Macaca fascicularis: one gene and its partners. Each later gene encodes a partner of the first gene's protein in a complex. Links are inferred from orthologs where the notes say so. Each region holds a gene or a part of one and is shown on either strand. Other genes may lie near its edges.

Region 1 (3,500 bases):
CTTCTGCAAAATCAGGTGCACAGACAACTCCCACGGGAGCCTCGAGCCTGACAGAGGTACAGTGGGCATCCCCTGAGCATGAGTTGATTCCTGGTGGGCAGGATCAGGCTCCTAGACTGACTGGGGGGACTTTTCTTGTATCTCCCCAGGGAACAGAAGGCCAAGAGGAACAGCCAGTGGGTACCCACCCTGCCCAACAGCTCCCACCACCTGGATGCCGTGCCATGCTCCACGACCATCAACAGGAACCGCATGGGCCGGGACAAGAAGAGAACCTTCCCCCTTTGGTGCGGATGTGTCGCTGTGCTCACCCTCTGCCCTGATTCTCCCTTAGTTCTCCAGCACATTTCAGTCCCCTCCTCCCCAGAAAAACACTGCTTTGACCTTGTGCTCCCCACAATGCTACAGTACCTCCTCCTCTTTGAACCACTGTGTTTCCCTGACCTCCAGGACATTGTCTGTAGCCTCTTTGGCTCTGTCTGCTGTCACCTTGCCGTGTCCTCCTCACCTCTCTGGCCCCTCAAGTGGAGTTACTCGGGGCACGGTCCATGTGCCCTTTCTCTGCCCTCAGTTTCACACGAGTGGGTCATAGCCAGTCTGACGGTTCACGTGCCATCCACGTGACTCCCACTGCGCCACCACTTCCCAGAGGCTGCTGGAATAAACCACCACAAACTGGTGGCTGCCAGCAGTGCACAGTTCTTCCCTCACAGTTCGGGGGCCCAGGAGCCCAGATTTGGTTTCACTGGACCAGATGCATGTGTAGACAGGGCTGTGCTCCCTCCAGAGGCCCTCGGGGCGATTCGGTCCTTGCTGCTTCCGGCTTTGGGGGCTGCCACATTCCTGGGCTTGTGGCTGCCTCACTTCAGTCTCGGCCTCTGTGGTCATGTGGCCTTCTCTGCGTGAAATCTCCCTGTCTGTCTCTTAGAAGGACACTTGGTGATGTAATTTAGGGCCCTTCTGGTTAACCTCTCAGGATCTTTCACTTAATCGCATCTGCAAAGTCTCCTTTTTTGGCCATATGAGGTGACAGTTATAGGTTTTGGGGATTAGGCTGTAGATGTCTTCGGGGTCTGTTTTTTACCTCTGCAGCCCAGACTTCCTCAGCTGCCCTCACCCCCTCAGCCTCATGCTGCCTGAAGACTTCTCCATCTCGGCGCATGGAGATCCAGCCGTCTCCTTGCTCAGGCTGTAGCTTTCTTTCCCAAGGCCTGCCTTTTCCTCACACAGCAAGTCCAGTCTCTCCAAGGTCCCACCCAGGACTGCCTTGGCCAGCCCCGCACTGCTCTCCCTGGGGTCTCTAGCAGCCCCTGCCTCCCCTCCCTGTTGCCTTCTCAGCTCTGCAGCTGGTGTGTCCTCTGCTCCAGGCATATCGTGTCACCTCTCCACGCAAAATCCTCCAGGCTCCCCATCACCCTCGGAGCAGAAGGAGGAGTTCTCACTGGGGTGCCAGGCCCAACCTGGCCTGGTGCTGCCACTGCCACACTCTGCCCCACTCACTCTGCCTCAGACCTGAGATCGCCCTCACTGCTGTCAGACCTCCCAGAGCTTCTGCCCAGCAGTTGCCTCTGCTAAGGTTTAGCCCGTTCTCCTTCCTCCCCTCTTTCCTTTCTTCTTTCTTTCCTTCCTTCTTTCTTTCCTTCCATCATTTCTCCTTCCCTCCTTCCCATCCTTCCCCCTCCTCCTTTTCCTTCTCTCTTCCTTCCCTCCATCTCCTCTTCCCATCCCTAGTTGACTGTCCCCTTCTCCCTTAGAGTGGCCACCCCTTTCCTCCAGCACCCCTACCCCTTTCCCTGTCTGTTTCCCAGCGCATTCATGCCTGGCACTCAGCTCGTTTCTCTCTCTCTTCCATCTGCCTCCCAAGATCGCTGGGGCCCTTCTCAGCCCTCTCCATGCTCCCAGACGCCCTTAGGTGTCCTCTGTCCTCCAGCTCCATCTCACCAACCTGCCTGCCCAACTCTTCCCTCTTTATCTTCCCAAAATACTCAACTCCATTGCTTGGAATCCTCCTGGGACTCCCTCAGGGCAGTGGCCAGTTTGCGTAGCCTGAGAGGAGAACTGTGGGTGCTTCGACACCCGCTAGCTTTGCAGCATCCCTGACCACTGCCCCCCATGGAATCTGTGCTCTGTGGTCTGTTTGTGCGTCCTCAGCAGTTCCTCCATTCACCTGCTTTGGCCTTACTGGAATATATCCTCTTCTAGAAATGCTATTCTGCTTGCCTACAGCCTTCTGTGAAAGTCCTGCCAAATTTCAGGCTTAAATATCCCTTCACAGGACATCTGGGTTTTGTTCCAGCACTGCCCGGGTCGATCCTATTGCAGACAGACTGGTGCTTGTCATTTATGGACCCACCTGTCCCCATTAGACCATGGCCCTGGGACCCCTGCTGCCTCAGCTGTTAGCTGATAAGTGACCATGTTCCCCAGATGGGTTTGCAGAGGCCTGCTGTGCAGAGAGGGAGGCTGAAAATTTGCATGCCTAGGGCCCTGGCACCCTCACTGACTGTTGCTTCCATTTCACTTTCAGCTTTGATGACCACGACCCAGCTGTGATCCACGAGAATGCATCTCAGCCTGAGGTGCTGGTCCCCATCCGGCTGGACATGGAGATCGATGGGCAGAAACTGCGAGACGCCTTCACCTGGAACATGAATGGTACAAGGCAGTCGGGCTTGGCTGGGCCTGGCCCCAGCCCCTGTGTGTTACGTGGGAACAGTCCCCTTTCCTACCAGCTGCCTGTCAGGCAGATTCTGGACCTGACATGCGGGACATCGGGGCATAGTTTTGGAGGGTGTGGGCTCTGGGTTCAGCCCTGGTTCTGTTGCTGTTCACTGTGGGTTGGGCATGTGAACTTTGGACTCCTTTCCCCATACTGAGGTTGGGGGGCCCAAGGGGCCTGGCATGGGAGGTGGCTGGTGTGCATAGCATGGATGATGATGACAATGCCACTTAGACCTAGTTCAGCCCCCGAGCCCTGCACACACCTGCCTTGGGTCCTGTCCACCACCCTGTTTCTGCTGTGTGAGGCTGCATGTGTGCCCTGTGCCTCTCTCCTCCCCTAACTGGTCATCTCTTTAGATATCCTCACTCTGTAAGTCCTGGGTCAGGTGCCATCTCTTCTGGCTCTTCCTGGGCTTCCAAAGCCTGAACAGAACTCAGTCTTTGTGCAGATGTAGACAGAAAGGTTAGAAGGGTATGCATCCCAAGTGTCTAGACTGCTTATCCCATCTGGGAGGGAGGATCATGCATGCATTTATTTTGCTATTTTTTTCTAAGTCTGTTAGAATGTATTTTTGTTATTTTATTTTATTATTACTGTTTTTTTAGATCTTGTTGAATACCAGGTTTTTTTGTTTTTTGTTTTTTAACTTAGTGTCTGTATCCTGCTGAATTTTTATAATGAACATACTCTTTATATTAAGACAAAATGCAGTGAATATCATCTTTATTTTATTTTACCTATTTTATTTTGTTTTTTTTTAAGAGACAGAGTCTCACTC
Region 2 (3,983 bases), on another chromosome or scaffold:
ATTCCCAGAGCAGAACGACCCTAGCCACCCGGGTCTTGTGTGCTACTGAGTGGACAGACCCGAGGCAAGAAAGGGTGACAAGGAGAGGGTCTTCCCAGGCTGGCTTTGAGCTCCTACCCCACCCCGCCCCCAATCCTCTCTGGCACATGGTGTCTTGGTCCCCAGAGTCCCCCCGCGGCCTCCAGATGGTCTGGGAGGGCAGTTCAGCTGTGGCTGCGCATAGCAGACATGCAATGAACGGTGGGCGCAGACCCAGGCTGTGTAGACCCAGCCCCCACACCCCGCAGTGCCTGGAGCTGCCTGGGTCACCCACTAACGCCCCAGGCCTGGTCTTGGCTGGGCGTGACCGCGTTACCCTCAGAAGCAGCAGCTCCTGGGGAAACTTTCCCTGCCCCGTAGAGCCCACCTTCCCAGGGCCGTGGCTGGGTGGGTTTGCAGCTTTCATCACAGGCCACCTCAAGCCACTGGACCGCTGGCGCCTGCCCTGTCCTGGGCAGTGTGGTCCTGCGACTTCTAAGTGGCCGCGAGCCCCCTGACTCCCCCAACACCACACTCTACCTCTCAAGCCCAAGTCTCTCCCTAGTGACCCACCCAGCCCATTTAGCTAGCTGAGCCCCATAATAGCCAGAGGTCCCGAGACCTGCTTTCAGGGCAGTTGCTCTGAAGTCGGCAAGGGGGAGTGACTGCCTGGCCACTCCATGCCCTTCAAGGGCTCCTTCTGCAGGAGCGCACAGCACCCAGGACCCTGGCACCCGTGCAGACCCTGGCCCACCCCACCTGGGCGCTCAGTGCCCAAGAGACGTCCACACCTAGAATGTCCCGCGGTGGGTGGGGGGCCCGAGAGACGGGCAGGCCGGGGACAGGCCTGGCCATGCGGGGCCGAACCGGGCACTGCCCAGCGTGGGGTGCGGGGGCCACCGCGCGCGCCCCCAACCCCCGGGCCCAGCACCCCAAGGCGGCCAACGCCAAAACTCTCCCTCCTCCTCTTCCTCAATCTCGCTCTCGCTCTTTTTTTTTTTTCGCAAAAGGAGGGGAGAGGGGGTAAAAAAATGCTGCACTGTGCGGCGAGGCCGGTGAGTGAGCGGCGCGGGGCCAATCAGCGCGCGCCGTTCCGAAAGTTGCCTTTTATGGCTCGAGCGGCCGCGGCGGCGCCCTATAAAACCCGGCGGCGCGACGCGCCTCCACCGCCGAGACCGCGTCCGCCCCGCGAGCACAGAGCCTCGCCTTTGCCGCTCCGCCGCCCGTTCACACCCGCCGCCAGGTAAGCCCGGCCAGCCGACCCTGGTAGGCGGCTCCCGGCTCGGCTGCCTAAGGCCGCGGCCCCTTCGCCTGTGTAGAGCCGCCTGCGCCGCAGCGGGGGTCGCATGTGGGGACTGGACTGCAGTGGGGGACGCGGGAGAAGCCCCTGGGCCTCCAGAGATGTGGGGACACCCCGCTCCAGTTTGGAGGCGCGGGCCCTGCTCGGGAGGCGCGCTCTGGGGGTGCTGCTCTCGGGATGGGGGCAGCCGGCGGGGTCTTTGTCCGAGCCGGCTTCTTGCCAGTGGGAACTGCAGGGTGGGCGCGGCGGAGCCCCCCCGCCAGGCTCGGTGGGGGGCTGGGGCGCCATTGCGCGTGCGTCCTGGGGCTTGGGGCGCTAACTCTGCGTGCGCGCTGGGAATCGGCGCTAGTTGCGCGTGCGCGCTGGGACTCAAGGCGCTAACTGCGCGTGCGTTCTGGGGCCCGGGTGCCGCGGCCTGGGCTGGGGCAAGGGCTGGCCCCGCCGGAAGGGGTGGGGTCGCGGAGGCTCCAGGGCGCTTGCGCGCACTTCCTGCCCGCGCCGCCGGCCGCCTGAGGGTGTGGCCGCCGCGCGCGCGCGCGCGCCGACCCGGCGCTATTTGAACGGAGCGGAGGCGGGGCCGGCTCCCGGTTGGGAGGGGGTGGGGGCCTGGCTTCCTGCCGCGCGCGGTGGGGACGCCTCCGACCAGTGTTTGCCTTTTATGGTAATAACGCGGCCGGCCCGGCTTCCTTTGTCCCCAATCTGGGCGCGCGCCTGCGCCCCCTGGCGGCCTAAGGCCTCGGCGCGCCGGAAGTGGGCAGGGCGGGGGCCACCTCGGCTCACAGCGCGCCCGGCTTTCCCGCAGCTCGCCATGGATGATGATATCGCCGCGCTCGTTGTCGACAATGGCTCCGGCATGTGCAAGGCCGGCTTCGCGGGCGACGATGCCCCCCGGGCCGTCTTCCCCTCCATCGTGGGGCGCCCCAGGCACCAGGTAGGGGAGCTGGGTGGGTGGGGCGGCCCCGGGAGCGGGCGGGAGGCGAGGGCGCTTTCTCTGCACTGGGGTCTCCCGGTTTCTGGGGTGGGGGCCGCGCCCGTGCTTAGGGCGCCTTGTTTTTTCTTTCCTAGGGCGTGATGGTGGGCATGGGTCAGAAGGATTCATATGTGGGCGACGAGGCCCAGAGCAAGAGAGGCATTCTCACCCTGAAGTACCCCATCGAGCACGGCATCGTCACCAACTGGGACGACATGGAGAAGATCTGGCACCACACCTTCTACAATGAGCTGCGTGTGGCTCCTGAGGAGCACCCCGTGCTGCTGACCGAGGCCCCCCTGAACCCCAAGGCCAACCGCGAGAAGATGACCCAGGTAAGTGGCCCGCTACCTCTTGTGGTGGCCACCGCCCTCTTTCCTGGTCTCCCGGAGCTGCGCCCTTTCTCACTGGTTCTCTCTTCTGCCGTTCTCCGTAGGACTCTCTTCTCTGACCTGAGTCTCCTTTGGAACTCTGCAGGTTCTATTTGCTTTTTCCCAGATGAGCTCTTTTTCTGGTGTTTGCCTCTCTGACTAGGTGTCTAAAACAGACAGTGCTGTGGGTGTAGGTACTAACACTGGCTCGTGTGACAAGCCCATGAGGCTGGTGTAAAGCGGCCTTGGAGTGTGTATTCAGTAGGTGCACAGTAGGTCTGAACAGAATCCCCATCCCAAGACCCCAGCACACTTAGCAGTGTTCTTTGCACTTCCTGCATGTCCCCCATCTGGCCTGGCTGTCCCAGTAGCTTCCTGAGTATGACATGGTGCATTTCTTCCTTACAGATCATGTTTGAGACCTTCAACACCCCAGCCATGTACGTGGCCATCCAGGCTGTGCTGTCCCTGTACGCCTCTGGCCGTACCACTGGCATCGTGATGGACTCCGGTGACGGGGTCACCCACACTGTGCCCATCTACGAGGGGTATGCCCTCCCCCATGCCATCCTGCGTCTGGACCTGGCTGGCCGGGACCTGACTGACTACCTCATGAAGATCCTCACTGAGCGCGGCTACAGCTTCACCACCACGGCCGAGCGGGAAATCGTGCGTGACATTAAGGAGAAGCTGTGCTATGTCGCCCTAGACTTCGAGCAGGAGATGGCCACAGCGGCTTCCAGCTCCTCCCTGGAGAAGAGCTACGAGCTGCCCGATGGCCAGGTCATCACCATTGGCAACGAGCGGTTCCGCTGCCCTGAGGCTCTCTTCCAACCTTCCTTCCTGGGTGAGTGGAGACCCGCCTCCCGGCCCTGCCTGACCTGAGGGTCACCCTTGGGGCTGTGCTTTGGAAGCTAAGTCCGCCCTCATTTCTTCCTCAGGCATGGAGTCCTGTGGCATCCACGAAACTACCTTCAACTCCATCATGAAGTGTGACGTGGACATCCGTAAAGACCTGTACGCCAACACAGTGCTGTCTGGTGGCACCACCATGTACCCTGGCATTGCTGACAGGATGCAGAAGGAGATTACTGCCCTGGCGCCCAGCACGATGAAGATCAAGGTGGGTGTCCTTCCACCCTGAGCTGACCTGGGCAGGTGGGCCGTGGGGCCCTGTGGTGTGTGGGGAGCTGTCACATCCGGGGTTCTCACTGCCTGTTTGTTCCCTTCCTTCCTCAGATCATTGCTCCTCCTGAGCGCAAGTACTCTGTGTGGATCGGCGGCTCCATCCTGGCCTCGCTGTCCACCTTCCAGCAGATGTGGA
Region 3 (3,459 bases), on another chromosome or scaffold:
GGTGTACGTTTTCAAGAGTTACTAAAATCAAGTTGGAAATGATTTATGTACACTTCCCTGAGCCTGGACTAAAGCCTCGTGCCTGTACCCCAAGTAGGGATGGTACTTTTCTATACAAAAGTGATTTCCTGGCAGGCAGGTATTTACAAACTGTGTTCCTGTACCAGTCCAATAATGACAACTCTAAATCCAGCTGCACCAAATCTTATTAGGCCATTTGTCATACCTATGAAAATTCTTTAGTTATTAAATAACTTTGTTAATGCTACCTATGGTAGGCCAGAAACAATGTAGATTAGGAAGTTTCATGAAAATTAACTTTTGGGGCTATGGAGAAATAGTTAAGTATCTTAAGTTGCTAAACATTTCCACTGAATTTTTGGAGTGAGCCAGGGTTACTATAAAATACTTGGGAAGATGATTTCTCTACCTGGAATTAGTTTGGAGGGTAAGAGTAGCTTTTAACAGAAATAAATCAACTGCAGATTTTAAGCTCATAATTTGCAAAAAAAAAATCTTTTATTGGCATAAAAATGAAAATGTTGTAAATAAATTGGCACCAAATATTCCACTTAAATGCATACACAGTATTAGAGTCAAAAACTATTTTATCCCTCTTTGCTGTTTTTCCCCCTTCTGCCCACTTTCCTGGGTGTTGGGGGGGCCCGCTGACAACAGTCACAAATCCAGCGACCTAGGAAAAAAATTGTTAATATGGAATGAAAAATTATCTTTACAGGACTGAATTTTAAGCCCATCTAAACTCTTCTTCCTTAGCTATCACTAATGATATTCCTCTGTGGATTTTGTGGTGAGAAGGGCACTATGAGTTCCTGAATTTAAGGAGAAAAATATAAACTTGTAATCAATGCCATGCAAAATTCATTGCAAGTCAAGGGGGATGGGAGAGATGCAATGCCATACAGTGATACAGACCTTTAAAAAAGTACAGTATTTCCTGAAATTCAAACACTATCATACTTCTAAAGTTCAATACATACTTCAAAAGTTCAAAACCCATTCTGGAATTTGGCTTTTTTAAGCCTTTTTCTCTCCTGCTCACTGGCAGCTGTGTGTCTTAACAGCATTCTTTCAAGTGCTGGTGTACTCTGCTGACAGCACTTTAAAACTTTTAAGTTTCTAACAGCACAATGATAAATTGTACTACATACTTGATCTGAATTACTACAGAAAAATAATTATGTTGCTTGCTTAATGATTCCCAGGAAACTTCGTTGTAGGCATATATTTTATAAGAGTATTATACAGTGTTAACTATGCAAGTAAGTTCTAAAATTACACAATTATCTGTGTAATGTTTTAGTCCAATTACTGTGATTTATTCAACTCTGTTCTAAAGTTACCTGGAATTGTCATGCTGCCTCAATTTACAGAAATCTGTAATCGATTTCTATAGAAATGTATAAAGACGTAGTCATTTTGTTAAGTTTCTAAATAGATAACATAAAAATAAAGGCTTTGAAACAAGATGATGCTGTTACTTAAGTATTTCAGTAGAAAAACACCAGCTCATTATATAGAACTGTACTTCCAAAACTTAGTCTGGGCATTCTGGCCTCTCATTTATCCTTTAGTTGGAATTGTCTGGGAATGAAAAGCTGGTGGACATGACCCATATAATCATAGCTTTGGTCATATTTGCACATAGGAGTCCACAAGCTCTGCATGTCATGATAACGTTTATGCAGCCTTTTGGAGTGCAGTGCTGGGAGAGTCTTATCACCCAAAGATAGTTTGTTCTTTTTTTAATCTTTACCTGATGGAATAGCACCAAGGCCCACACAAAAAGTATGATAACCTCTGTCACACACATCACAGAACATCATTTCTTCTTCATGGTGGGGTTGTCCACATATAATGCATGTTTTACATTCCATACACTGCCATGGGTAGGTCTTAATCATAGAAACAAGCTCCACTGTCATATCCAGGCAAGAAGGATGGCCTAAATCAAAACCAGTATTAGTAGTATCTCACATAAGAATTTTTAACTTAATATGGCACATAAAATGCTAGTTTGCTTTAGGACTTTCAGAGAATAGCTATAATGTCAAATCACCAAAGAGAAATGAAAATACAATGTAGAAGAAAACACATGGACTGTGTCTGCCTCACAATCTACCCTGTGTATTTATTTGATGACTCTGGTTGAAATCTACCTGAAACTATAAATTCTAGTTTTTGAACCAACAAATACAGTGGTTAAAATTTTAAAAAGACATTTCAATACTTACCACTATTCTCACATTGGGAGCAGTGTATAAGTGATTCAGCCTTTCCTTTCTTGTTGGACTCCTTACCCTTCAGACAAATTCCACATATAGCATTTGGAATGACCTTTGGCTGGAAGGGTAGAAGAGGGCTATAAATTCATGCCAGAAGAGCTTACTATGGGTTTAAAAGGAATTCTGTTACTTTATTGCCCTATTCTTACTTTTGATAACTTGCTAATGACCATTTTGAAAGACAAAACTTGACAGGAATCTGCCTGCAATGTAAGATTGCTTACTGAAGAAAGCATTAATTTCATCATAAAATTTTGTAAACAGCATGATCTCATAAGATTAAATGTAGAATTCTATACTCCCTACATGCACAGTAAGATCTGTTTAATGAATGGAAGGAAAGACGAAATACAATGCCAAATATCACTATTAATTGGACAAGAAAATCCAAGTAGCAAATGACCATTAATGTGAGACTTACTCTAAAGAGAAGACCATTTTAAACAGCTTATGTATTAATTTTAAAAACTGCTCTTTTCCAAAACTGTAAAACTAGATCTATAAAATATAAGTTAAAAAATCAGTTTATCTTCATTGGTATAGTGGTACTTTTTTAAAAATCAGTTTAAACATTTTTAATTGAAAGATGTCTCATGCATACATTGGCATGTACATAAATGTTTGTTGAAAACTTAGTTGTGTGATTATTCTCTTTGCATGTCTAATAAAAGAAGCTATACTTAGAAGCATTTACTATAAAATAACGTAAAATTATAAAAGGGAAAAGTAAGTTTTCAGACAAGCAAAAAAAAACTGTAGTCACTTAAAAAATACACAGACCCTCTGAGTACTACTCATCTTTCAGATTAAAAACATGCATGGTCCAGTGAAAGTGTTTGAATTTTAGACATATTTGGTAACCCATGGAAATGACAAAGGAAAAAGGGTTCACTGCACTTAAAATTACCAGGGGAGGGAAGGCATCCGAACGTCACGGCCTTGACTGTTATGAAATGACGTTCACTCATGCTATAGGAATAAGTAAATAACAGTGGTAAAAAAGTAAAAGCAAGCATGGGCCAAGAATGAAATGGGGTAAGGGGACATACATACACACACACGTACACACACACACGCACACACACATAGATGAACTGGGAAAATAATTATTTTAATTAGAATTGTTTCATTTCTGCTTCATTCCCACCCTGCC
Region 4 (3,500 bases), on another chromosome or scaffold:
TTTTTGCGGTACCTTCCGTAGCCCCGAGGCTCGCAATGCCCTGTGCGGTGCCTGGCTTCAGTTAGCTTCCTACAGCCAGACGCCAAGCCCCTCCGCCAGAGCCGCGCGTATTCCGGCGCCCCTGCCCCTCCTACCCATCGTTCCCACCCATCGCTCAGCGCTCAGGGTCACCAGCCGAGGGTCTGGTGGGGGAGGGGAGACGCCGGCTCACCGCGCCTGGAGCTGGGGGCCCTGGTCTGACCCACGGGCGCCCGTTTCTGCTTCACCCCCGCCCACCCACAGCGCCCCGGGATGCCGTCTGGAGCCCGGATGCCCCACCAGGGGGCGCCCATGGGCCCCCCGGGCTCCCCCTACATGGGCAGCCCCGCCGTGCGACCCGGCCTGGCCCCCGCGGGCATGGAGCCCGCCCGTAAGCGAGCAGCGCCCCCGCCCGGGCAGAGCCAGGCACAGAGCCAGGGCCAGCCGGTGCCCACCGCCCCCGCGCGGAGCCGCAGGTGAGTGGGAGGCCCGGCGCGGAGTGGGCGTGCAGGGGCGGGCCCTGGGGACCCGCAGGGACCAGGTGAGAGAGTAGCGGGGATTGGAAGAGGTGAGGAAGAATGATTAGCAGGGAGCGAGGCTTCCCGGATCGGATGCCCTCTGGGGAGGTGGGCTTAGGGGGCACCGGCCTGATTCTTTTGTGTGCCCACGGTAGAGACAGGCTGTGGCCGTCGGCAGCCGGTACCGCTTCCCTGCACGCTCCCCTCACCCTTCTCCTTGTCACCTGCTCAGTCCCTCTCTCCACCCATCAGGTTCTGGGTGATGCTTAAGTCTTTGGGTTGGGGGCGGGGCTTCCAGTGGGACTGAGGGCAGAGCTGTAGGACTGTGTTGCCCAAAGTGTAGTTCTCCGCTGAGCCTTCCTGCCAGACCCCGGACTGTTTCAAAGCCACTCCAGATTTTCTCAATGGGACTCTCTGGCCCTGGGGGTGGAGCTTGGGGATTTGCCCTGTGGTAGGTGGTCTCTGCCCAGTTCCGCTCTTAATTCTTAGGCACTCTGGACCAGGTCTGCTCCCAAGCCACCAGGGCCAGCCCATTGCCTTATTTTCCTCCAGCAGCTGGTGGCACCCTCAAAGCCCCTGCTGGCTCCTGGCAACAGCAGTGCCCCTCTGGATTTCAGTATTTAGCCAAATACACATGCTTTTTTTGCACAACAGATGGATTTCTATAAAAGGTGTAATATCAATTTTACCTCATTATTAAGTATTTTTTACACATCAGGGAAAATTCACCACTTATAGGAATCCCATGATGAATTATTTTGTAAAGTGCATCGTCATTTTGTACAGCAAACGGTAATTCCCTGATTTATCTTGTATAAATGGAGAGTTACACAAAGATAATCTGTCTAAAACAAACCAGACCTTTAATGAAATCTGCTTGTTAGCCTTAGATTTCTGCATAGGGAGGGGGTAGTGGTTGAGAACACCACACGGGGGCAGTATGGAGCTATTCTCTAGGCTGCGTTTTCATCTCTTGACCCGCCAAGGTTTTTCTGGGGGTTTTTGGGTTAGTCAGCAGCAGCTAGTGGGTCAGAAAGAGCTCACATCCAGCTGCTACTACCCTGGGCCTAGTCAATTTGGCCTCAGCCTGAAGTCACACCCATGCACATTCTGGGCGCCTATGGCTGCAGCATGTCCCTCACCTTGTTGCCAGGTAGTCCCAGGGCATGAGTACCCCTGCTCATCAGCATTCTCTTGCAAGCCCAGGGTGCCTGGAAGGGATGCAAGTCCCGCCAGCTTCACACCATCACCTCCGCTCCATGGATAGGAAGGAAGTCGTCTATCTCCCTCCCTCTGAGCTTAGAATCCTTTGGACAGGGCACCCCCTGCTTTCCAGAAAAGGTCCTCAGACCTGGCTTCCCTCTCCTTTGTCCTCCCTCATCCCCACCTTTCCTCAAACACTTCTGCAGCTCCCATCTTTTGGCAGCACCACCCCCACTCGCCAGTCCCTCCTAAGTCTAAATTTCTCTGTCCCTAAGGATGTGGCAGGTTAGAAGGGGGCTCCCAGGCCAGAGAATGGACGGGTCACCCCTGTGTCCTTAGAGAGGACAGAGCACCAGTTCCACACACCACCGTCATAGCCCTTGGGCGGGCAGACAAGCGGGCTGTGGGAACCCCAGCCAGGCGGGCGGAGATGTCGGGATAATTTAGCAGGTGGCCTCGTTACTCCCAGATCTGTCGCCATGGTAACCTGGTTTTTTCTTTAAAAAATGTACAGTGCCAAGAGGAGGAAGATGGCTGACAAAATCCTCCCTCAAAGGGTGAGTGTCTTTCACAGCAGCCCCCAGCCCACCCCCTACCCTTTGCTGCTCTGCCCTCCCCTCCCCCCTCAAAAGCAGAGCTTCAGTGTCACAGTCACTTTCACTTTTTGTTTAAAAAAACTCATTAATAAGTGAGGCTCCCTAGGCCAGAGGGAGGGGGTGAGGTGGAGGGAAGCAGCAGAGCCACTGGGGCCAGAACACAGGGGCCTGTCAGGGGGCTGGATCCAAGTGGTACTAAGACAGAGTTGTGGGACAAGAAGGGGGCAAGAGCTAGGGGATCAAAAGCTGCCAGGCAGAATGAAGGGGATAGAAGGTGGCCAGAGATCCTGAGCATCCTAAAGGGACCCAGGTCCAGCTGGATATGGGGGACAGCACAGTTGGGACAGGTGTGGGGGCTGAGCAATGTGCCAGCAAAGAAGAAAGCACTGCTGTCCAACTGTCCCAGGGATTGAGCCCCTACTAGGCACTTTGCAGGGGCCCAGGGGAAGCCCAGTGGGCATATGACATAGAAAATGACAGGATGAGGAGACTAAAGGCTAGTGCTTTGCTGGGTTCCACAGTTGCTACCTCCTCCCCGTGATGATACACAAGGCTCTTCCTAAAGGGAGAAGCAATTGTTATCCCTACACAGCAAGGCCCCTACTGCTGGATAATGGCATCCTGGGGAGAGGTCCTGTTCCCACTGTCAAAGCTCCATGCCCAGAAGTAGGATGGCTCCCCCGACATCTTTTGCACCCTAGGATTGCACAACATGCATACATTCCATGGTACAACCCTGGACTCGAGCCTCTGACTCCTGCCCTGCTCCTCCTCCTCCAGATTCGGGAGCTGGTCCCCGAGTCCCAGGCTTACATGGACCTCTTGGCATTTGAGAGGAAACTGGATCAAACCATCATGCGGAAGCGGGTGGACATCCAGGAGGCTCTGAAGAGGCCCATGAAGGTGCCTTAGTTCGGGGGTAGGAAGGGGACTCTTGAGTCGCGTGACCAGGATGGGGAAGCAAGGTAGTCAGGGTGGAAGCACACAGCATTTGCCCGGTTCTACACTCTATTTCTACAGCAAAAGCGGAAGCTGCGTCTCTATATCTCCAACACTTTTAACCCTGCGAAGCCTGACGCTGAGGACTCCGATGGCAGCATTGCCTCCTGGGAGCTACGGGTGGAGGGGAAGCTCCTGGATGATGTACGTCCCGGCCCAGGTCTCT
Region 5 (4,276 bases), on another chromosome or scaffold:
TAGAACTTGATTCTGCTTATTAAATAGGCAGAGAGGAGTTAAAGATTTCAAATCTATTACAAACAGTTATTCAGTCACTTTCTGTTTATCTGTAAATCTAATAGCGTATGTAGTTGAACTCTTGAAATTCTGGAATGTTTATTTTATTTTATTCATTGTCTTGAGAGGAGCAAAAGGAAGCGAGAGGGCATAGCTTTGAACTGGCAATTTGGCAACTTCTCTCCCCTTGCCACCCCTCCCCCACTATCTTAGCTATTTGACCTGATTAAACAGCTTTGGAATGGTAGCCAGACTTCTGTATGCTAACGAGGCCCCTACCCTATTCTCGATTTAATGCGGTTTCATCCACGCAGAGCTTCCCGGTGCCCAGTGGAAGCCTGACTTCGCAGAAGTCTCCCAATTTTGTCAGGGGCTCGCCAGTGAAGAGTTCACACTGACTTGAAGCAGACACAGACTCTTTGGACGCCTCGGGTCACATCGGATTATTCACTAGCAAATTCTTTCCACCTTCTAAGTAGTGAAAGGTGACGTCAGAATCGCGTGTGCCACTCCTCTAAAGGGACTCTGACAACACCCAGTCCAGGCTCTACGACTTCTGCCTAGGCACTTGCTTCCTAGTAGTAGAAAGTTTCCAAAGGTTGCCTCAAGTCCTCCCTACCTCTAAGCCTAAAGGTCAGAGCTCCAGGTCGCACCACCGAGCAGGAATCTGAGCATTTTGGAAGTTTCTGGTGTAGGGAGCAGAACAGAAGGGGTGGTAGCGGCGGACCGCGCAGAGTAACCCCCCTGCACTACGTAAAGAAAGCCCTGGCTGCAGGAGGGAGTGAGCCTGACATTGAGGCATTCCAGGGGGAGGGTGAGTTGCTGTCCTGGAGTCGCCAGGAACAGCAGCGGCAGTTCCAAGAAGCGAGAGAGGAAGGTGGCGGAGATAAAGAGAACACTTCGGGAATAAGAATATTAAAAAGCAGCAGGACCCAGAGCATTAGCAAACGGCAAAGCACACGAAGTAATTTGTTACACGAAGCGGCAGCCTTCCAACTTTTGTACTGAAACACGGGGATTTACCCTTTGGGGGATTAAAAATGTTGATATGCAAAGCCAAAAGCTAATGAATAGGATTCAGTGGCTTGCTGGCAATATTGAAATATTTCTGTCCAGGAGCGCAAACTCTGCAGTTATTTAGAAAAGTAGGGAGTTGAACCAAACTATAATATTCTCCCGTGCGTCTCCACTTTCCCCAGCCCGAAAAGGAGCTGCCAACGCGGTACTTCCCCTTTAAGACCTGCTGGCTCTCGGGCTCTACAAAAGGGAGTGACCTCTGGGCTTTGACAGCTCCCCTAATAACTACCACCGAGCAGGCCCCGCCCACCTGGCGACCAGCCGCGCCGATTGGCCGGCGGGCCGGTATCCCGCGCTCTGATTGGCCTGTCGCTTCCCCTGAGCGAACCTTTAGAACTCTGAGACAGACAATATTCTGTTACATTGTAGCAAAATGGCGACTGTCATTCACAACCCCCTGAAAGCGTAAGTAAGACTAAAAAATGTACATATTCCGCGTGGTTTCAATATGAAAAAAAAGGCGCCTTCTGCGTGGCGAGCGCTGCCAGTGCTTGCGCTTGCAGGCGCCTCCAGCCGCGGCGGGGCTTCTCTCTTCTTTCAGCTCTTACTTCTTTTTTTTCCCCCAACGCGCAGAAATGTCAGGAGATGCAATTAACAAGAAGAAAATTGTTACATTTGTGTTCTGCTAAATTGCAGAGAGAGCGAGAGATAGGGGTTGCCGGCGGAGGAGCCCGGCGCTCGAGCGCTCTACAGCAGGGGGGTCGCGGGAGCTCGGGGACAGCGCGGTCCCTGGAGTCCCCCGCCTCGCGGGCAGGGAGCGAGGCTCCGGGGGCGGCCGGGCGGGGGGCGAGCGTCGGGCCGGGACTGCCTCGGTGCACTTGGCCGAGCCCTGCACCCCCAAGCCCGCGGCCCCCGCCCCGCCGCTGGGTCTGCTGGGTCCGGCGGACGCACCGCGGAGGCTCCGGAGTTTGCAGGGCGCTCTTCGCCTTCCGATCGCTCGCGGGGAGTTTGTGCAAACCTTCCGGAGTTGGGAGCACCGCGGGGGAAGCAGCGGGTCCCGGGCGCGCTGGGTCCCAGGTGGTCGCCCCGGGCTTTCCCCGGCAGCCCCCGGATCTCGGAGGCGCTCCGGGCGACCGCGCGTGTGTCTGCTCGTGTGTTTGCGAGCAACCTGGCTGTAGTGGATTAACGACTCGGGTTAACTTGGGGTGGATTTGGAGGCAGGGAAGCCGCAGGTCTTATGAATGGTGTTCTCGCCACCTCTGGGTGAGGCGCCGAGGCAGGCGGAGAGGCGGTTTTGGGGCTCCTGGCCCGAGGGGGCAGCGTCTGCTCCCGGCCGGGCGAGGGGCAGGTGCCTCTGGCCGCCCCGGGGAGACTTTGAGCGCTTGTCCAGATCCTGGACAGAGTGGGGCGGGCCGGACGAGCACTCGCGGGGGCCAGCCCCGGGTCCAACAGCCAATTTCTGCCTGCCTGCCTGCCTTCCTCCTCCTTTTCATCCTGGCTTCCTTCCTTCCTTCCTTCCAGTCGGTGGAACTGTTAAGCCGCCAAGTCCGCTCGCGATCGCGGAGCCAAGGGTGGCCTCGGAAAACTAGTGTCGCTCTGAAAGGGGTGCTATTGGGTGATGTCGGCAGAGGGTGGCTCCCTCCGTATTCGAGGTGGGCTGGGGGTCCGCACCCCTTCGACCGGGACTTCCCCGCCCGGACGAAGCCGCAGGCAAAGAGGGGGAGAGGGAGGTGCGGGCCGGGTAGGGGGCGGTTCGTGCCGAATTCTCCCTGGTGCGTGGCCACTGTCGACCCTGCTTCTTTTAATTCAGCGCATTCTCGTCTTCACCCCTCGCCACTCCTGGAGTTGAAAACCAGGTTCGCTCCCGGAGACGGTAGGGGGGTTCCTAACGCAAAGGAATGCACAGGGAGAATCAGACGTGTTTGCACCAGCTCGTCGCCCACCAGAAATAGGGAAACGGGTAGGAATGCCCCAGGTTTCAAAGATATTTATATGAAAGCTGCCGTTAAGAGGACGTTGGAAGCTGAGGCTGAGCAGATAGGAGCTCCCGGCTTCAGTTCTGCCTCGGAAGCTCGGATACACTGCACTTGAACGCCACAGCGTTTCATCCAAGAAAGAAAATGTTTTATGGCAGAATAAATGGGCGTAACTTCGCCGCATCCTCGCTGCCGGTTGCTTTCGCTGCAACACCGCTGATGCTGTCTCTACCGAACCCACAACTGATTTGCAGTTTCCCCATATCCAGCCGAAATCACATAACCAGGCTGATGCCACCTGGTAAACTCAAGTTAGAGAATCTATTTCACATGTGCACCAGGTTTGTTTCCTACTGGGAAAGCCGTACCCTAGTTACCCGGGAGCCCGCTTTCGCGCGGGCGGGCGCAGTATCTCTAAGCTTCAGTGTTCCCCTGCTCGCTCCAGGGTTTTTTTGGATCACAGTAGGGTGCGCGTTTGGGGAGGGAGTCTGTGTAGGGTGGGGTTAAGGGTGGGGGAAGGGACAGACGGGGGGGAAAGAAGGTGGCGGAATCCCGGCTGGTTAGGGGAATTAGTTCTGAATTGTACTTTGTATAATTAGAAACAGTTGCAATGTGATGTATTTGTAATTGTGCCGCCACACGCATGCACACACTAGCATACACACAACGCCCCTGCTTGCTTTTTCTAGGTGGGAGTTGAGTGGTCATTTATAATTAGCCATTCCTTTCTGCTTCCCAGACCCTTTCCCTGGGGGTAAAGGGGTGTAAACAATACCCCTGACCAGCCCAGCCTCTCACACCCTGGACAGTTTTTAACTCCTAATGCAGGAGCACACACGTTGTTATTGGGAGACGGACACCATCTGCCTTTTTTTTTTTTTTTAAACAACTTGTTTAATAAAACATCTTATATATTTCATTTGTTTTTAAAAGTTGCTGATCAGGAAACAATACAAACGTGAATAAATTATGCATGGGATAAATTAGAACAAAGTGCAGAGACACATCCAGCCGAAGGGATGGTGGTGGTGCAGGGAGGAGGGGTAGCGGAGAGAATGGTTTGGAGAGCTATGTTTTTATCCTCATGTGTCCCTCCTGACAATGAAACAGAGCTGAATGACATTAGCATTTTCTCTGTGTGCGTTCTGAGTCTCTCTCTTCCCTCCAAAAAAAAAAAAAAAAAAAAAAAAAAAAAAAAAAAAGCCAACACCACGGACGCCCCCTACAGAAAATGGTCACACAAA
Region 6 (3,500 bases), on another chromosome or scaffold:
GGCCAGGAGCGGTGGCTCACTCCTGTAATCCCAGCACTTTAGGAGGCTGAGGCGGGTGGATCACTTGAGGTCAGGAGATCAAGACCAGCCTGGCCAACATGGTGAAATCCCATCTCTACTAAAAATGCAAAAATTAGCTGGGCGTGGTGTCTGGCGCCTGTAATCCCAGCTACTTAGGAGGCTGAGGCACAAGAATCACTTGAACCCAACCCGGAAGGTGGAGGTTGCAGTGAGCCAAGATCACACCACTGCACTCCAGCCTGAGGGACAGAATAAGACTCTTGTCTTAAAAAAAAAAAAAAAAAGAAAAAAAAAAGAAAAAAAAGAAAAAAAAACTATTTTACCTCAGTTTAGCAAAAGGAAAAAAAAAATATTAGAAACCTTTTAGGTTATTCATTTAGTTCAGCATACTTGTGTATTTTCAGTATGTACTGAAGTACTTGTGTAGTTTCTGGAGAGAAGTTTGGAAGTTTCTATTGTTCTTGATTTCTAAACCAACTTTGGGCATTTCATTTCATTTCATTTCTTTTGAGTAGAAGGTATGTTTTCCCTTTCTTCACGTTTACCTTTTTAGGAATTTTCGTTAACATTGAAGTAATTATTAAATATAAGGGATGCCTACAAAAAAATAATGATCAGGCTGGGCACGGTGGCTCACACCTGTAATCCCAGCACTTTGGGAGGCCAAGGTGCGTGGATCACCTGAGGTCAGAAGTTTGAGACCAGCCTGGCCAACATGGTGAAACCCTGTCTCTACTAAAAATACAAAAATCAGCCAGGCATGGTGGCAGATTCCTGTAATCCCAGCTACTCTAGAGCCTGAGGCAGAAGAATCGCTTGAACCCAGGAGGTAGAGGTTGCAGTGAGCTGAGATCACACCACTGCACTCCAGCCAAGGCAACAGAGTGAGACCCTATCTCAAAAAAAATAAATAAATAAATGTATGATCAAATTTTTTAGTGCCTAGTAAAATGATACAAGAAATGTGCCTGGAAATATTCTGCAGTTAAAATTCATAATATTTGATAAATATTCAATATTTTGTGTTTTAATAAGTCTGTCAGATCTTAGAATTGAGGGAAATTTTGCCAACTTCCAATTCCAATTTCTGTCTCTCTGTACTTTAATTTTCAGCTCGAAGACGCGACGTCCATTTGTCAAAAGAACAGGAGAGCCGCCTACCCTCTCACTGGCTGAAAAGCAAAGGGGCCCACACCACCATGGCAGATGCCCTCTGGCGCCTTCGAGATTTGATGCTCCGGGACACCCTCAACATTCGCCAAGCATACAACCTAGAAAATGTTTAATCACATCATTACGTTTCTTTTATATAGAAGCATAAAGAGTTGTGGAACAGTAGCCATTTTAGTTACTGGGGGTGGGGGGAAGGAACAAAGGAGGATAATTTTTATTGCATTTTACTGTACATCACAAGGCCATTTTTATATAAGGACACTTTTAATAAGCTATTTCAATTTGTTTGTTATATTAAGTTGACTTTATCAAATACACAAAGATTTTTTTGCATATGTTTCCTTCGTTTAAAACCAGTTTCATAATTGGTTGTATATGTAGACTTGGAGTTTTATCTTTTTACTTGTTGCCATGGAACTGAAACCATTAGAGGTTTTGTCTTGGCTTGGGGTTTTTGTTTTTTTTGGTTTGGGGTTTTTTTTATATATATAAAAGAACAAAATGAAAAAAAAACACACACACAAGAGTTTACAGATTAGTTTAAATTGATAATGAAATGTGAAGTTTGTCCTAGTTTACATCTTAGAGAGGGGAGTATACTTGTGTTTGTTTCATGTGCCTGAATATCTTAAGCCACTTTCTGCAAAAGCTGTTTCTTACAGATGAAGTGCTTTCTTTGAAAGGTGGTTATTTAGGTTTTAGATGTTTAATAGACACGGCACATTTGCTCTATTAACTCAGAGGCTCACTACAGAAATATGTAATCAGTGCTGTGCATCTGTCTGCAGCTAATGTACCTCCTGGACACCAGGAGGGGAAAAAGCACTTTTTCGATTGTGCTGAGTTAGACATCTGTGAATTAGACTATGGTGTCAGTAATTTTTGCAGAACAAGTGCACAACCCTGAGGTATGTTTAGTCTAGGCAGGTACGTTTAAGGGTATTTTGATCTATTTATAATGAATTCACAATTTATGCCTATAAATTTCAGATGATTTAACATTTTAAACCTGTTACATTGAAAAACATTGAAGTTCATCTTGAAGAAAGCATTAAGGTATGCATGGAGGTGATTTATTTTTAAACATAACACCTAACCTAACATGGGGAAGAGAGTGTGTAACTAGATATGAGCTATGTAAGAAGCATAATTGTGAACGAGTAGATTGATTGCCTTCTACTTTATTTTTTACAAGTATGTTTTAGTATTCTTGATTTCCTCATTATCAGATGTATTTTTTTCTTTTAAGTTTCAATGTTGTTGTAGTTCTCAACCAGAAATTTAATACTTTCTAAAATATTTTTTAAATTTAGCTTGTGCTTTTGAATGACAGGAGAAGGGAATCATAATTTAATAAAATGCTCACTAGAAAGACCATTACAGATGCCAAACACTTGGGTTTGGTGACCCTGTCTTTCTTATATGACCCTATAATAAACATTTGAAGGCAGCATAGGATGGCAGACAGTAGGAACATTATTTCACTTGGCGGCATGTTTTTGAAACCTGCGTTATAGTAACTGGGTGATTGCCATTGTGGTAGAGCTTCCACTGATGTTTATAAGCTGAGAGAGTCACTCTCAGAGGATGCTTTTTTCCTTTTAATCTGCTATGAATCAGTACTCAGTTGTTTAATTACTGTACTTATTAAATCATGAGGGCAAAAGAGTGTAGAATGGAAAAAAGTCTCTTGTATCTAGATACTTTAAATACAGGAGGCCCTTTAACTTAATTGCCTTTAGTCAACCACTGGATTCAATTTGCATCAAGTATTTTAAATAATATTGAATTTAAAAAAAATGTATTGCAGTAGTGTGTCAATACCTTATTGTTAAAGTGAGTCAGATAAATCTTCAATTCCTGGTTATTTGGGCAACTGAATCATCATGGACTGTATAATGCAATCAGATTCTTTTGTTTCTAGACATCCTTGAATTACACCAAAGAACATGAAATTTAGTTGTGGTTAAATTATTTATTTATTTCATGCATTCATTTTATTTCCCTTAAAGTCTGGATGAGACTTCTTTGGGGAGCCTCTAAAAAAAACTCTTCACTGGGGGTCAAGTGGATCATTAGAAGCCAGAGCTCTCCTCCAGGCTCCTTCCCAGTGCCTAGAGGTGCTATAGGAAACATAGATCCAGCCAGGGGCTTCCCTAAAGCAGTGCAGCACTGGCCCAGGGCACCACTAGACAGGCCCTAATTAAGTTTTTTTTTAAAAAAGCCTATGTATTTATTTTAGAATCATGTTTTTCTGTATATTAACTTGGGAGATATCCATTAATATTTAGGATATAAGATTTGAG
Region 7 (3,982 bases), on another chromosome or scaffold:
CAACAAAGGTCCAAAACAGAATCCCCATCACGAACAATGCTTTAGAGAGAGAGCAGAGTCAAAATTCAAGATAAACTGGAACTTATTATAAAATCTGGAAGCAGGCTGGCACGGTGGCTCACGCCTGTAATCCCAACACTTTGGGAGGCTGAGACGGGCGGATCACTTGAGGCCAGGAGTTCGAGACCAGCCTACGCAACATAATGAAACCCCCATCCCTATTTTTTAATATTAAAAAAAAATCTGAGGCCAGGCACAATGGCTCACACCTGTAATCCCAGCATTTTGGGAGGCTGAGGCGCGCAGACCACTTGAGCTTAGGAGTTTGAAACCAACATGGGCAACATGGTGAAACCCTGTCTCTACCAAAAATACAAAACAGCCTGGCATGGTGGTGCATGCCTGTGATCCCAGCTACTCGGGAGGCTGAGGTGGGAGGATCACTTGAGCTTGGGAGGCGGAGGTTGCAGTGAGCTGAGATGGTGCCACTGTGACAAAGACAGACCTCATGTCGAAAAAATAATAATAATAATAATCCGGAAGCAGGTTAGGTCGGAGACAAAGTTAGGTTGAAGTTCCCACGTGAGGTAGTTATTGAGGCACTTTATCTGTGGAATGAGTCCTGGGCTATGAGCAAGAAGACCTGGAATCTTGGCTTCGGCTTTATGACTAACTTGCTGGTTGACCTTTGCCAAGTCGTTCACCTGTGAGTTCAGCTTTCCTATTTGGAAAATGGAATAAACTGTGTTTCCCTCCTCAGCCCCTGATAGTTATAGCAGTAAGAAAATGAAACGAAAAGCAATCAAAGCGTTTTGGGAAGTTAATGCCATGCGCCAAGATGAAGCTATTACTCCAAGCACCTCATCATCAGCGGGCTGGAGTCGGGGTTGAGACTGGGGCTGAGGCTGTGGTCCGTCCCCCTTTCCAGGTCCTTGTCTACCTCCCGTCGGCCTGGGGGCGCCCACTCACGGGGCCTCTCTATCCCAGAGTTCTTCTCTATGGTTTTCCCTCCAGGACCGTGAAGGCGGGAGGGCGTGGCCAGCACGCCTTTTCCGCTACTCGCTCCTCTCTAGGCGACAGTCTCGCTGCCCTGAGCCTCCCGTGCCGGCCAGCCGGCCGGGGGAACAGGCGGGCGCTCGGGGGGCGCTCAGGGGGCGGGGGGAGTTCCGGTTCCGGTTCTTTGTGCAGCTGCATCGGCGGCTCCGGGAAGATGGCGGCCCGGGCGGGTTTCCAGTCTGTGGCTCCGAGCGGCGGCGCCGGAGCCTCGGGAGGGGCGGGCGCGGCTGCTGCCCTGGGCCCGGGCGGAACTCCGGGGCCTCCCGTGCGAATGGGCCCGGCTCCGGGTCAAGGGCTGTACCGCTCCCCGATGCCCGGAGCGGCCTATCCGGTGAGTGGGGCAGGAGGAGGGACGCGCGGGCCGGGGGCGGGGCCGAGCGGGGACGTGGGAGTGACAGGGGTGGGGGGAGAAGTAGGAGGGACTCCCTTGGGAGGGGTTCGGGCTCTGGGTGGGGGCTGGGGGAGGCAGTGCGCAGGAAGAGAGGGGGAGGCAGTTGGTGTCCACACCAGCTCCTAGGGGCATTGTTTCCGTGGGGAGTCGGTAGAGAACCAGGGTGGGTGAAGTGGGTCCAGGGATACCTATACGAGGGCCGGAGTGCAGAGGGGCTTGAGCAGCTCCATTGATCAAAGGAACACAGAACGTGTAGCTGACAAATTGAGGTCAGCTTCTAAAGAGATAGTAGCTAGCAGAGTAAATGTGGAACTGGCGATGTCCGATGTGTCCGATCCAAAATAGACCGATAATTTGAGTATAATCTGGCTCTCGCTTAGCTTTTGGACTCTTATTTTTCTGTGGAGTCACTGCTGGAGCAGAGGGTTCTCGTCTCATTGTCCTCCATTCCATCCGTAAACCTTACTTCATTCAAAGAACTCAGGCGTTCCCTGCTTTTCTTTCTTGGTGGGGTTTAGCAGGTGAAACCATGACATCTCTGGGTCCTCTCCCCTCTGTAGAGACCAGGTATGTTGCCAGGCAGCCGAATGACACCTCAGGGACCTTCCATGGGACCCCCTGGCTATGGGGGGAACCCTTCAGTCCGACCTGGCCTGGCCCAGTCAGGGATGGATCAGTCCCGCAAGAGACCTGCCCCTCAGCAGATCCAGCAGGTCCAGCAGCAGGCTGTCCAAAATCGAAACCACAAGTAAGATGATCCTGGGGCAGAGGGAGGGAGGGAGGGAGCCTGGGAGTACACAGGTGGTGGGATTACCTGAACCAAGAAGTGGTGGTGCTGTGTCAGCAGATGGTGCTACAGGATGATTGAGAATGCTTGGTGGTGGTGGTGGTGGTGGTGGTGGTGGTGGTGGTGGTAGTTCTTTGAGAGCAGCTTTGCAATCCCTTCACATTACTATAAATGGACATGCTGACAGCTTATTTTCACGTTCTGACTAGTTCTGTCCCAACCTGATAATAGTGTTTATTCCCAACAGTGCAAAGAAAAAGAAGATGGCTGACAAAATTCTACCTCAAAGGGTGAGTCCAGGCTATCTGTTTTCTGGAAAGTGTGGTAGGTTTGAGTATAGAGATGAATCATCCTAGATTTCAATTAATTTTTCTGTTCCTAAGATTCGTGAACTGGTACCAGAATCCCAGGCCTATATGGATCTCTTGGCTTTTGAAAGGAAACTGGACCAGACTATCATGAGGAAACGACTAGATATCCAAGAGGCCTTGAAACGTCCCATCAAGGTAACACAGGAAGTTACTAAGCAGAGAGCCAAAGGAGAGGACCCAGGAACCTTCAGCAGGCTTAGGATGAGAAATCAAAGGCACAGCACAACTCTCCTTGGCATTTAAATTGTATCTTTCCCTTCCGCCTACAAACTGAGAATTACATTAGGAGGATAAGAACAGAATGGCAAAGGGGGAGGGGCTCTTGATGTCTCTTGCACTACAAATATACCCTTGTCCATGTTTTTGCTGTAACTGCTCTGCTACCTTGGGAACCTGGCACCTTGCGTGACTTTGTCCACCTGGCATCCCACTGTATGCACTTGTACTTAGGCTGATGGCCAGTACTCCTCTTCTAAATGGAATCTTCATCCACCCACCCAAGGGACTGGGTAGACAGTAAGCCAGTCTGTTAGGAATAATTTTGGGGTTTGGGGAGACTCTTGTCTTCAACATTAGACCACTGAAGCCCCACGATCAATCCTGTTTCTGCCTTCCTCAGCAAAAACGGAAGCTGCGAATTTTCATTTCTAACACTTTCAATCCGGCTAAGTCAGATGCCGAGGATGGGGAAGGGACGGTGGCTTCCTGGGAGCTTCGGGTAGAAGGACGGCTCCTGGAGGATGTGAGTTCAAGGTCCACAGTGGTTGGCATCTAGGGTGGGAGCTGCTGGGAATGAACAGTGTTGTCTGGTCAGCAGGAAGCCTAACTGGTGCTCACAGCTCCTTTTGGGAGCAGTAGGGAGAGGGACACTGTTCCCTGCACTGAAAGACAATGGTCCTTTGTGTTTGCCCCCACACCTTTGGCCTTCACTGGTATCATGTGGAGAACCTTATTGTCCTGGGATCTGATTTGTGATTTACCTTCCTCTTGGTGCTGCTGGCCATTGGATTTAGCCGTATCTGTAGATTATTTAGTTTTTGTTTTGTTTTGTTTTTAGTCGAGTTTGCACTTCATTTGAGGCCGTGTTTCCTCTCTGAGTTCTTGTGGTATCTCCATCTTCTCAACTTTCATTGGAGGCACCCCATAGTTTAAGTAGGATAGATTTCTCTTGACAGGCTCTTTGTTGCTTCCTGGGGAGCATCAGCTGACAGGTGATAGCCCCCAAACTTCCCAACCCAGAAGCTCCTCGGGGAAGCTCACCTTTCTCTCATTCCCTTACATTCTCTTGCTCTATTTTTAGCTGCTCGCAGGAAGCTAATTGGAATGCACTTTTGCAGGAGAACCAGGGCTCAGTGTCAGAGCCTCCTTCTCTATATA

What was found.
Region 2: SMARCB1 (region 1) and ACTB share a complex: the UniProt entries of both Homo sapiens proteins name them as parts of the BAF complex. The link is inferred for Macaca fascicularis from reciprocal best matches to the Homo sapiens genes SMARCB1 and ACTB.
Region 3: SMARCB1 (region 1) and PHF10 share a complex: the UniProt entries of both Homo sapiens proteins name them as parts of the neural progenitors-specific chromatin remodeling complex. The link is inferred for Macaca fascicularis from reciprocal best matches to the Homo sapiens genes SMARCB1 and PHF10.
Region 4: SMARCB1 (region 1) and SMARCD3 share a complex: the UniProt entries of both Homo sapiens proteins name them as parts of the BAF complex. The link is inferred for Macaca fascicularis from reciprocal best matches to the Homo sapiens genes SMARCB1 and SMARCD3.
Region 5: SMARCB1 (region 1) and DPF3 share a complex: the UniProt entries of both Homo sapiens proteins name them as parts of the BAF complex. The link is inferred for Macaca fascicularis from reciprocal best matches to the Homo sapiens genes SMARCB1 and DPF3.
Region 6: SMARCB1 (region 1) and PBRM1 share a complex: the UniProt entries of both Homo sapiens proteins name them as parts of the SWI/SNF-B (PBAF) chromatin remodeling complex. The link is inferred for Macaca fascicularis from reciprocal best matches to the Homo sapiens genes SMARCB1 and PBRM1.
Region 7: SMARCB1 (region 1) and SMARCD1 share a complex: the UniProt entries of both Homo sapiens proteins name them as parts of the BAF complex. The link is inferred for Macaca fascicularis from reciprocal best matches to the Homo sapiens genes SMARCB1 and SMARCD1.

The regions. Positions count from the first base shown.
Region 1 is NC_088384.1:28,085,284-28,088,783, forward strand, and holds part of SMARCB1 (SWI/SNF-related matrix-associated actin-dependent regulator of chromatin subfamily B member 1), read left to right. Parts: intron 1-149; coding exon 150-287; intron 288-2,527; coding exon 2,528-2,655; intron 2,656-3,500.
Region 2 is NC_088377.1:45,109,538-45,113,520, reverse strand, and holds the start of ACTB (actin, cytoplasmic 1), read left to right. Parts: upstream 1-1,183; 5' UTR 1,184-1,261; intron 1,262-2,120; 5' UTR 2,121-2,126; coding exon 2,127-2,249; intron 2,250-2,383; coding exon 2,384-2,623; intron 2,624-3,067; coding exon 3,068-3,506; intron 3,507-3,600; coding exon 3,601-3,782; intron 3,783-3,898; coding exon 3,899-3,983. UniProt on the Homo sapiens protein: Actin is a highly conserved protein that polymerizes to produce filaments that form cross-linked networks in the cytoplasm of cells.
Region 3 is NC_088378.1:1,329,202-1,332,660, reverse strand, and holds the end of PHF10 (PHD finger protein 10), read right to left. Parts: intron 2,365-3,459; coding exon 2,256-2,364; intron 1,967-2,255; coding exon 1,778-1,966; intron 1,489-1,777; exon of another isoform or gene 695-1,488; coding exon 609-694; 3' UTR 501-608; downstream 1-500. UniProt on the Homo sapiens protein: Involved in transcription activity regulation by chromatin remodeling. Belongs to the neural progenitors-specific chromatin remodeling complex (npBAF complex) and is required for the proliferation of neural progenitors.
Region 4 is NC_088377.1:192,524,447-192,527,946, reverse strand, and holds part of SMARCD3 (SWI/SNF-related matrix-associated actin-dependent regulator of chromatin subfamily D member 3), read left to right. Parts: intron 1-282; coding exon 283-494; intron 495-2,253; coding exon 2,254-2,296; intron 2,297-3,115; coding exon 3,116-3,238; intron 3,239-3,355; coding exon 3,356-3,478; coding exon of another isoform or gene 3,479-3,494; intron 3,495-3,500. UniProt on the Homo sapiens protein: Involved in transcriptional activation and repression of select genes by chromatin remodeling (alteration of DNA-nucleosome topology).
Region 5 is NC_088381.1:140,763,275-140,767,550, reverse strand, and holds the start of DPF3 (zinc finger protein DPF3), read left to right. Parts: upstream 1-1,476; 5' UTR 1,477-1,489; coding exon 1,490-1,521; intron 1,522-1,527; exon of another isoform or gene 1,528-1,701; coding exon of another isoform or gene 1,702-2,110; intron 2,111-2,160; coding exon of another isoform or gene 2,161-2,234; exon of another isoform or gene 2,235-2,359; intron 2,360-4,276. Other genes in the region: uncharacterized protein, read left to right, coding at 1,702-2,110, 2,161-2,234. UniProt on the Homo sapiens protein: Belongs to the neuron-specific chromatin remodeling complex (nBAF complex).
Region 6 is NC_088376.1:115,641,265-115,644,764, reverse strand, and holds part of PBRM1 (protein polybromo-1), read left to right. Parts: intron 1-1,134; coding exon 1,135-1,307; 3' UTR 1,308-3,500. UniProt on the Homo sapiens protein: Involved in transcriptional activation and repression of select genes by chromatin remodeling (alteration of DNA-nucleosome topology). Required for the stability of the SWI/SNF chromatin remodeling complex SWI/SNF-B (PBAF).
Region 7 is NC_088385.1:56,915,038-56,919,019, forward strand, and holds the start of SMARCD1 (SWI/SNF-related matrix-associated actin-dependent regulator of chromatin subfamily D member 1), read left to right. Parts: upstream 1-1,182; 5' UTR 1,183-1,210; coding exon 1,211-1,387; intron 1,388-2,007; coding exon 2,008-2,195; intron 2,196-2,481; coding exon 2,482-2,524; intron 2,525-2,617; coding exon 2,618-2,740; intron 2,741-3,224; coding exon 3,225-3,347; intron 3,348-3,982. UniProt on the Homo sapiens protein: Involved in transcriptional activation and repression of select genes by chromatin remodeling (alteration of DNA-nucleosome topology).